Linked DNA regions of Drosophila melanogaster. The protein of the gene in region 2 purifies or fractionates together with the protein of the main gene of each other region. This does not show direct contact. Each region holds a gene or a part of one and is shown on either strand. Other genes may lie near its edges.

Region 1 (3,752 bases), 310 kb from region 2:
AATGTAGGTATATTTGGAGCAAGCGCTAATGCAAATGCCAATATTTTTATTGTACACTAACCTAATAACCTAACGCTAGTTGAAGGTGAGAAACTATTAGTCGGGTGCGTACACCTCTGGCAGTCTACCAAACCCGGTCAATCATACTGTTGTCCTGGGGCTTCTGGTTCATGGTGGTCAGTTGCTGGTGATAGTTGCGCATCTGGTTGCTGCGGCGTGGCTGCGCCAGGTACTCGAACATGCTCTGCAGGTGCTGGGACAGCATCTTGCTCAAGTCGCTGGGCATGGGATCCGTCCAGAAGAAGTCGTGATTCAGAGCTGTGTCCGCATCGATGCGTTTCTTGGGATCAAGGGTCAGCAATTTGTCCAATAGATCACAGCCGGTTTGATCCTTGACATACGGACGCAGGCGCTCCTTGACTCGACGCTTCTGGTTCTTTGGCAGCTCGATGGATTTGTACAGCTCCAGCTCCTCCACTCCCGGCCACACGTCCGGCGTAAAGGAGCCGCATAGCTGCGAGATAAAGGTTAGCTGCTGCTGCTCCGTATTGCCTTGCATGATGGGCGAGCGTGTCCACATCTCGGCCATTATGCAGCCGGCTCCCCACATGTCCACGGGTGGACCATAGTTGCGGTCACCAAGTAGCAGCTCAGGCGGCCGGTACCACAAGGTTACTACGCGATTGGTATAGCGATTCTTACTCTCGTTCTTTGGAATGCTAAAAGCACGGGCCAAGCCAAAGTCAGCCAGCTTTAAGATGCCATGCTTGGTAATCAGCACGTTGGCAGCTTTCATGTCTCGGTGCAGGATCTAGTAATGCAAATGAAAACAGATACATACAATGTAAAACCAAAACTTTGCTTAATGACATGACTCACCTTGTTGCTGTGGATGTAATACAAACCGTTTAAAAGCTGCTGCATAACCTTCTTAATCTCGCCCAGACTGAACTTGACGTTCATGTTGGACAGAAGACCTGCCAAATCGTGTTCGCAGAAATCAAAGACCAAATAGAAGGTGGATCTGTAACCATTCGTGGCGGTGGCCTTGGTGCGGCAGATCTCGATCAGATTCACCACGTTCTCGTGCTTTAGCAGCTGCAGGATGCGGATCTCTCGCAGAGCCGTGATGGGAAACTAGGGGAGCACATATATAAATAAGGAATTCGTCTCTTAAGATGTTGCTTTTCACGCACGCCCTCCTTTTCGTTGTCCATCAGCACCTTCTTCATGGCCACAAACTTCTTGTTGCCCTTTTTCTCGCGAGCCTTAAAAACCTCTCTGTAATCAAAGGGGTCGTATGTTTTAGTTTAAAGTTAGTTTTCACCAATTTGGAGACTTACCCGAAGGTGCCTTGGCCAATTTTCGCCACCTTTTCGTATTTGTTGCTCTCGTCGCAGTAGGGAAAGTCGTAGTCCTCGATGTACTTTTGTTTCTCCATCAGGGACATCGTGCGCGATGAGCTGGAGCCCACGTTGGAGGGCGTCGACCCCGAAGGCTGCTGGAGCATGTGGGACATGTGCGCCATGGTTAAATTTGCCTCTATTTGTACAATTTTCACAATCACAGTTTCGCGAGAAGCCGACAGTCGAAAAGAAAGAAATCGGCAACAATTGGTGTTTCTACAGCTGTTGACTAAAGAAATACCGGTGTGCACACACTGTCAAGGCCTATCGATAAGAAATCGATGGGTCAAACAGCTGGGTAGTAATAACTTTTCGATTGTTGGTATACACTGGCCAAGTGATATAACCTAGCCAAAATTTGTCCAACAAATAAAAGCCGAATTAATGAATAAACTGTTGAATATAGCCCAGGCAGGGCATCGGCAGTTTGTCCGGGAATATGCATTCAAGTCGGACCTGAAAATCAAATGGATGCGCCCCGAGAAGATCGCGTGCTATAAGCCCGAAAAGAGCGGCGATTTAGCCAAGCTGCCTCCTCTGAAAGCCGACGAACTGCTGCCGGAATACAGGGACTGCAAGGAGTTGGATAAGTATGTTGCAGTATTCTCTCAATATAATAGTTTATTTACATCATCTCACCATTTTGTAGAGCCGACGAGTCAGTTAAATCCTTGTTCAAACTGAGCAACAACGCTAGTTACCTGACCACAAAATTCTATCGCGATGAGATGGTCAAGGAGGTGCAAAGACATGCCCAGGATTTCGGCTCAATGGAGGCCAAATGTATGTATCTTTGCAAAGTGCACATATAGCAGTTCCCCCCAAATTTGCCCTTCTTTTAGTGGCAAAAATGACTGCAGTTATCCGCCGCTACCAGGAGCACATGGACAAGCATCCGCGCGACAAGATGATCAAGGTGCGTCTCAAGGAGCTCATCGACAAACGCAAGAAGTTCCTCAAGTACTTGAGACGTTGGGATTATCCCCGCTTCGAGTGGATTCTCGAGAAACTCGACCTGGTGTACAAGCCACCGCCCACACATTTCCACTGGATCACCCGCAAGGAATCCCTCCAAAAGTTGACCGACATATACTGCGAAAACCTAAAGGAAGAGCGGCTAGAGGCTTACCATAAGCAGCTGCAGGCCCAGCAAATACCCTTCCTTGAGGAGGCCATCAAGAAGATGCAGTTCGTGCGGCAGGAACAGATTTCCTGCGATGTCCCCGTGACCGTGACAGAAGAGAAGATCGCCGACTCAAAAAGGCAGCTGGAAATGCTGAAGGAGCTGCAGCAGGCGGAGGCAGCCGCCAGCAGCAAGAAACAAAACGAGGATGGCTTCAATTAGGCCCGATTCTTTAATGTTACGGTGTCTTACAATAAATGTAAATGCTGGTTTTCTTAAATTATATGTTTTATTATACTTTAAGAGTTAGGCTGGACATCGTACCCTATGTCATGATCATCTGAGCGCATACTGGCAAATAAATAAGAAGGCAAGCATGATTGCCTTAGAAAAATGTGTAAAAACAGACGCAATTAAAGAGAAGTTCCTAAAGGGTACGGTTGCAGCTAACGTCTGCCCGACGAGGAGGTTTTCCGCCTGCCGCCGCTGCTGGAGCTACTCGAGCTGCTCGACGAAGAGTCGCTGGAGCTGGACGAACTGGACGACGACGAGGAGGACACGGAAGAGGTAGAGTCGCGTGAGGTACGCTTGCGCTCCTTGTCGCCATTGCCAGTGCCCTCTTTGCTCTTGACATCCGTGGAAGTGACTTCTTCGTCGCCCCAGAGATCGTACTTTGATAGATCCTCGTCGTCTCCCTCGTCGTCGTCCTCATCTTCTTCCTCATCATTCCGCTGCTCATCTCGGCTAGACCTTCTGGGCCTCTTTGAGTCCTCTCTATGCTCGCCGTGCTTTCGCTTCTTGCGACGACCGAACTCATCGTACTCGCTATCCGAATCCTGACGATCCTTGTACTCTACCACGCCGCGATCATTGTATCCACCGCCAAAGCCTTTAAAGAAACTGGTTAAGTGGGTTTTGAAGCAGATCAGGCTTCTACGGACTCACCAGTCCGCTCCTCCACATCCGAGAACTTAGGAGCGTTGCACATATTGCAGGTTTGGCGACGGGCCCAGTTCACATTCGCGCATTTGCTGCACTGCCAGTCCTCGGCGCTGAACAAGCCCCGCGACTTGTCGGCCGCCGCCTTGCCGATCTCGGTGCCCAGCTTTTTCTTGCTTGAGCTGCTGCTACTGCTGCTGCTCCCGTTGCCGCGTTCCCGCTCCCGGTCTCGATCCCTGTCGCGCTCCGGCTTATCACTGCCATCGCGGTCCCGGTCGCATTTG
Region 2 (3,752 bases):
CCTTCTCAGAGAAACTGGGCTTCGACAGCGAAAGCGAGGAGTCAGATGAGTACACCGAGAAGATGATCTTCCACGGCGAACTATCCTACGACCTGGTGGTCCCACTGATCGTCGTGTCCTTCTGCCTCCTGATGATCGTGCTGTCCATCGCCCGAGTGATCTACGTGGTGCTGCGCAAGCGCGGCGAGCGCTATCGCATGGCGCTGCTGGCCTCAAAGAACTCGTTCGTATACCAGAAGTTGAGCGAGGACATCGTGAAGCCGACCAGCAAGGAGCAGAAGGAGCCCAAGCATCTGAAGCAGCCAAAGGTGCACCGATACGCGCCCATCAATCAGGTCTAAGTCCACCTAGAATCAGCAGTTCCGGGCCGGTGGCCGCGGAAATCGAACGAGTTGCGCTGTTTTTCTAATTTATAAGTATATTGATAGTTGAAAAAGTGGAAAATCACATCAGACAATTGACTAAACACAAGCACAAGAATGTAAGAAACAGGAGGAGGAGCAGTAGGTGGCAGTTAAAAGTATTAGCGAAAGTGCGAGGAAACAAAGCAACAACTAAAAAATACTTGAATCCAAATAAGAGATTGAAAGAGAGAGAATAAATCTTTGACAAAATCCTTTATCCTTGAAATATCCTGTACCATCAAATACTGTTAAGACCAGTCAAAGGTCCTTGGCAACAGCAGAGGTGGGCTTTCAGAGAACGCGTTTGATGAGCAACCGTTTCGAAAGCAACGGATTTGCAATTTATCAAACCTCTGCCCACAATCCGTATCCAATTAGTCCATATCCGGGAACAACTTGAAGATTTAGTGCCATTTTGCCAAAATTCAAACCGAGCGAAAATTACTTAAACACATTAAGGTTTCTAAACTGAGTGTCAAGTCAGGAACAAGAAACGAGGAGCGAGGAACAGAAAGTAGTAAGAGTTTTAGATGCGGGTCTGTGTAGCAAACGGTTAGGAGACTCCCTAGAATGACGTCTGATTTTTAATATGATCAAGAGATGAGAGAAATAATTAATGCATAAACTATGTTAAGACTTTTTTATTATCTTTTTTCCAATCGAAGGCAAGTAACAGCTTGACCTATTCGACATTGAAACCGATTCCGAAAACAATAAATTATTTTAACCAAACCGATCGTAATCTTTACAATGCATACTTAATAGACATACACACTTGCATACGTACTTTAAACAATAACATGCCTTTCAATAAAATTGAATATATTTTATCTGCGTTCAATAAAAGACTCAAGTTGACCGACATCCCCTTCCTCCTTTACGTAGGTGCTCAAATTCCGCTGGAAACAGAGTGCCAATTCGTTATCTTCCCGATCCCGTTTCAGTTCCTCTCTGACCTGCCGCCACATCCGTTCAAATCCACTATCGAACGGCATTCCCAGGAAGCGATTATGTCTGGAACGGAGTTCATTGCCGATCTGCTGCCACATTGCCTCGAATTCCCCGTCGTAGGGCATCCCTAGAAATTTACCCTCACATCCGGAGGATTCGAACATGAAGGAGTACTCAAACATGTTTCAGTCTAAAATATATTATAATTACAAAAATTACAAGCTTTTTTTGGAGCAACTAATTTGTAGGATTTAATCCTTTTTTTTTTGTTTTAATGATATGATATCATGTATGATTTGTATGATATTATATTAATATTAATATCTTATATCATAGTATTTTTGGTCCCAGCGTCGGTCTTCTTCCTGCAGCTTAGGAAAGCAAACTGAGTAGAGGATTCTCAAACGAAGTGCAGACCAAAAAAGAGGCCACAAAATAATGCTGAATGTACATAAGATCCATTGCGACAAAGAACATAAAGTAAACAAAAATCAAGCAGGGCATCAAATTTCCTGTGATTCTGTATAGGGTTTTTAATGGTATTTTTCGTATATACACAAGTCCAACCAAAATTAAATGGTTCACTCTAAGCTTTTTATACGCTTAAAAAAAATAGAATTTTGAAAGCTCAAGTATGGTCAGATCTTAAACGAAGATCCGTTAGTTTAACATTTTTTTTTCTTCAAGAGAACAAGTTGAGCGTGGGTAAGTTTTGGCTCCAAATTAATAGACCTCCATGGACTTCTCAAAGAGTTGCGACAGGTTTTCCTGCGTCTGCGCCCTGGGTGCTAGCTTAGTGATCCTTTCCTGGGGCAGGGTTCCCTCCACCAAGGCGGGTATATCGCTGCTGGAGAATCCCAGCTCTCGGAGGCCATTTTCTATGCCCGCGCGTTGCATAAAACCGCGTACAGTGTCCGCCAAAAGACGACCGGCGTCTGCTTTTTCGACACCTCGCACTTCTGCGCCCAGCAACTGGGCAGCCTCCAAATGCCGATCCGGACAAGCTGGAGCAGTGAACTCAAAGACCGCCGGAGCACTGATCACCACGGATAGGCCGTGTGGAATAAGAGCGTGATCCGCGGAGTAGCCCTTTGGCTTGTAATCCCTCACATTTCCAGAAATAGGATAGGAAAGGCCATGACACAGGTGCACTCCGGCATTACCAAATCCCACGCCAGCCATTGTGGAAGCCAGGTGCATCTGGGATCGGGCTTCTAGGTTATCGGGCTGGTAAATGGCGTTCACAAAGTTTTTCCTTATCGTCTCCAATGCGAATCGTGCCCACACATCCGACACTGGGTTCCTGCCCTGGTAGGTGGGTCTCAAGCTGGGATCACTGGGCGCCAAACCGCGTTCCCTGTAATCCACCGCCGTGAAACTCTCCAGGGCATGGCAGAACACATCAAAGCCAGCGAAAGCCATCACGCGTTGCGGCTGGGATAGGGTGTGCAGAGGATCAATCACAGCTAGAGTTAGATAGAACGATATTAGAATAAATTATTTAAAGAAGTTCAGTTTTTTACCCAAAGTAGGTTTGAGGAACTTGCTGGAAATCCCAGTTTTGGCATGCAACTTCTTGTAATCAAATATAGCTACTCCAGTGGTTTCGGAACCTGTTCCCGAAGTGGTGGGCATCGCAATCAGGGGCTTCAGTTTTACGGATATCTAAATGGAATTCAAGTGGTATTAAAGGTACTAAGTCTAAAAAGGAGACCTCACCTCCTTGCCTCTGCCAATTGGGCAGTTTACATAATCCAAAAACTCTGCATTTGCATCACTGCTAAAAAGATTAGCTGCCTTGGCTGTATCCATGGCAGATCCTCCTCCGATGGCCAGAAATGCATCGAACTCCTTGCCGCGCGCAAACTCCACGGCATGCCACATGCTCCCATCCGTGGGCTCCACCCGGGTTTCATCATAGACTTCGTAGTTGATGCCATTACGAGCCAGTGAATCCAAGGCCACTTTCACGGAGGGCAATTGCACGACATTTTTATCCGTGACCAAACAAACCTTCCGAGCTCCCAAGTTGCGAAGATCGGCTCCCACTTCGGCACTTACTCCCGGTCCAAATCGAACAGTCGAGGCTGACATCTGTTTATCAATACATTTGACCAAATTTGAATTAGAATTTGTTATATACCGAACAAAATTTAAGTTAAAAGTATTCACAAGATCTAAAATATAAATTCTATTGGGATGCTTAAGAATATAGAGATAGTATTATCTGGTCCAGGGTATGACCACCTGTCTAAAGATGAGAATCTACTATCTGGAGGTGCTCCAAAGTCCAAGGTTTTGCCACTTACCTCGAAGGCGTATTCCATGCGACCCGTTTGGGAGGCGGTTGGAGCTGCTGAGCCATAGTTATGCGAATGGGCGGGGCACTTGCAGCTA

Evidence for each region. The genes of interacting proteins can lie anywhere in the genome.
Region 1: the proteins of pgc (region 2) and Cdk9 purify together in Drosophila melanogaster (affinity purification with western blotting, with the first as the bait; one study listed by BioGRID). This does not show direct contact.

Annotation. Positions count from the first base shown.
Region 1 is NT_033778.4:22,636,063-22,639,814, forward strand, and holds Cdk9 (Cyclin-dependent kinase 9), read right to left. Parts: upstream 1,666-3,752; 5' UTR 1,529-1,665; coding exon 1,344-1,528; intron 1,282-1,343; coding exon 1,197-1,281; intron 1,138-1,196; coding exon 880-1,137; intron 812-879; coding exon 125-811; 3' UTR 1-124. Other genes in the region: bonsai, read left to right, coding at 1,791-1,996, 2,056-2,189, 2,249-2,751; CG3732 (uncharacterized protein), read right to left, coding at 2,976-3,418, 3,475-3,752.
Region 2 is NT_033778.4:22,328,184-22,331,935, forward strand, and holds the start of pgc (polar granule component), read left to right. Parts: upstream 1-2,016; 5' UTR 2,017-2,078; coding exon of another isoform or gene 2,079-2,821; intron 2,822-2,878; coding exon of another isoform or gene 2,879-3,020; intron 3,021-3,074; coding exon of another isoform or gene 3,075-3,449; intron 3,450-3,664; coding exon of another isoform or gene 3,665-3,749; intron 3,750-3,752. Other genes in the region: Gp150, read left to right, coding at 10-341; CG34207 (uncharacterized protein), read right to left, coding at 1,232-1,537; T3dh (type III alcohol dehydrogenase), read right to left, coding at 2,079-2,821, 2,879-3,020, 3,075-3,449, 3,665-3,749.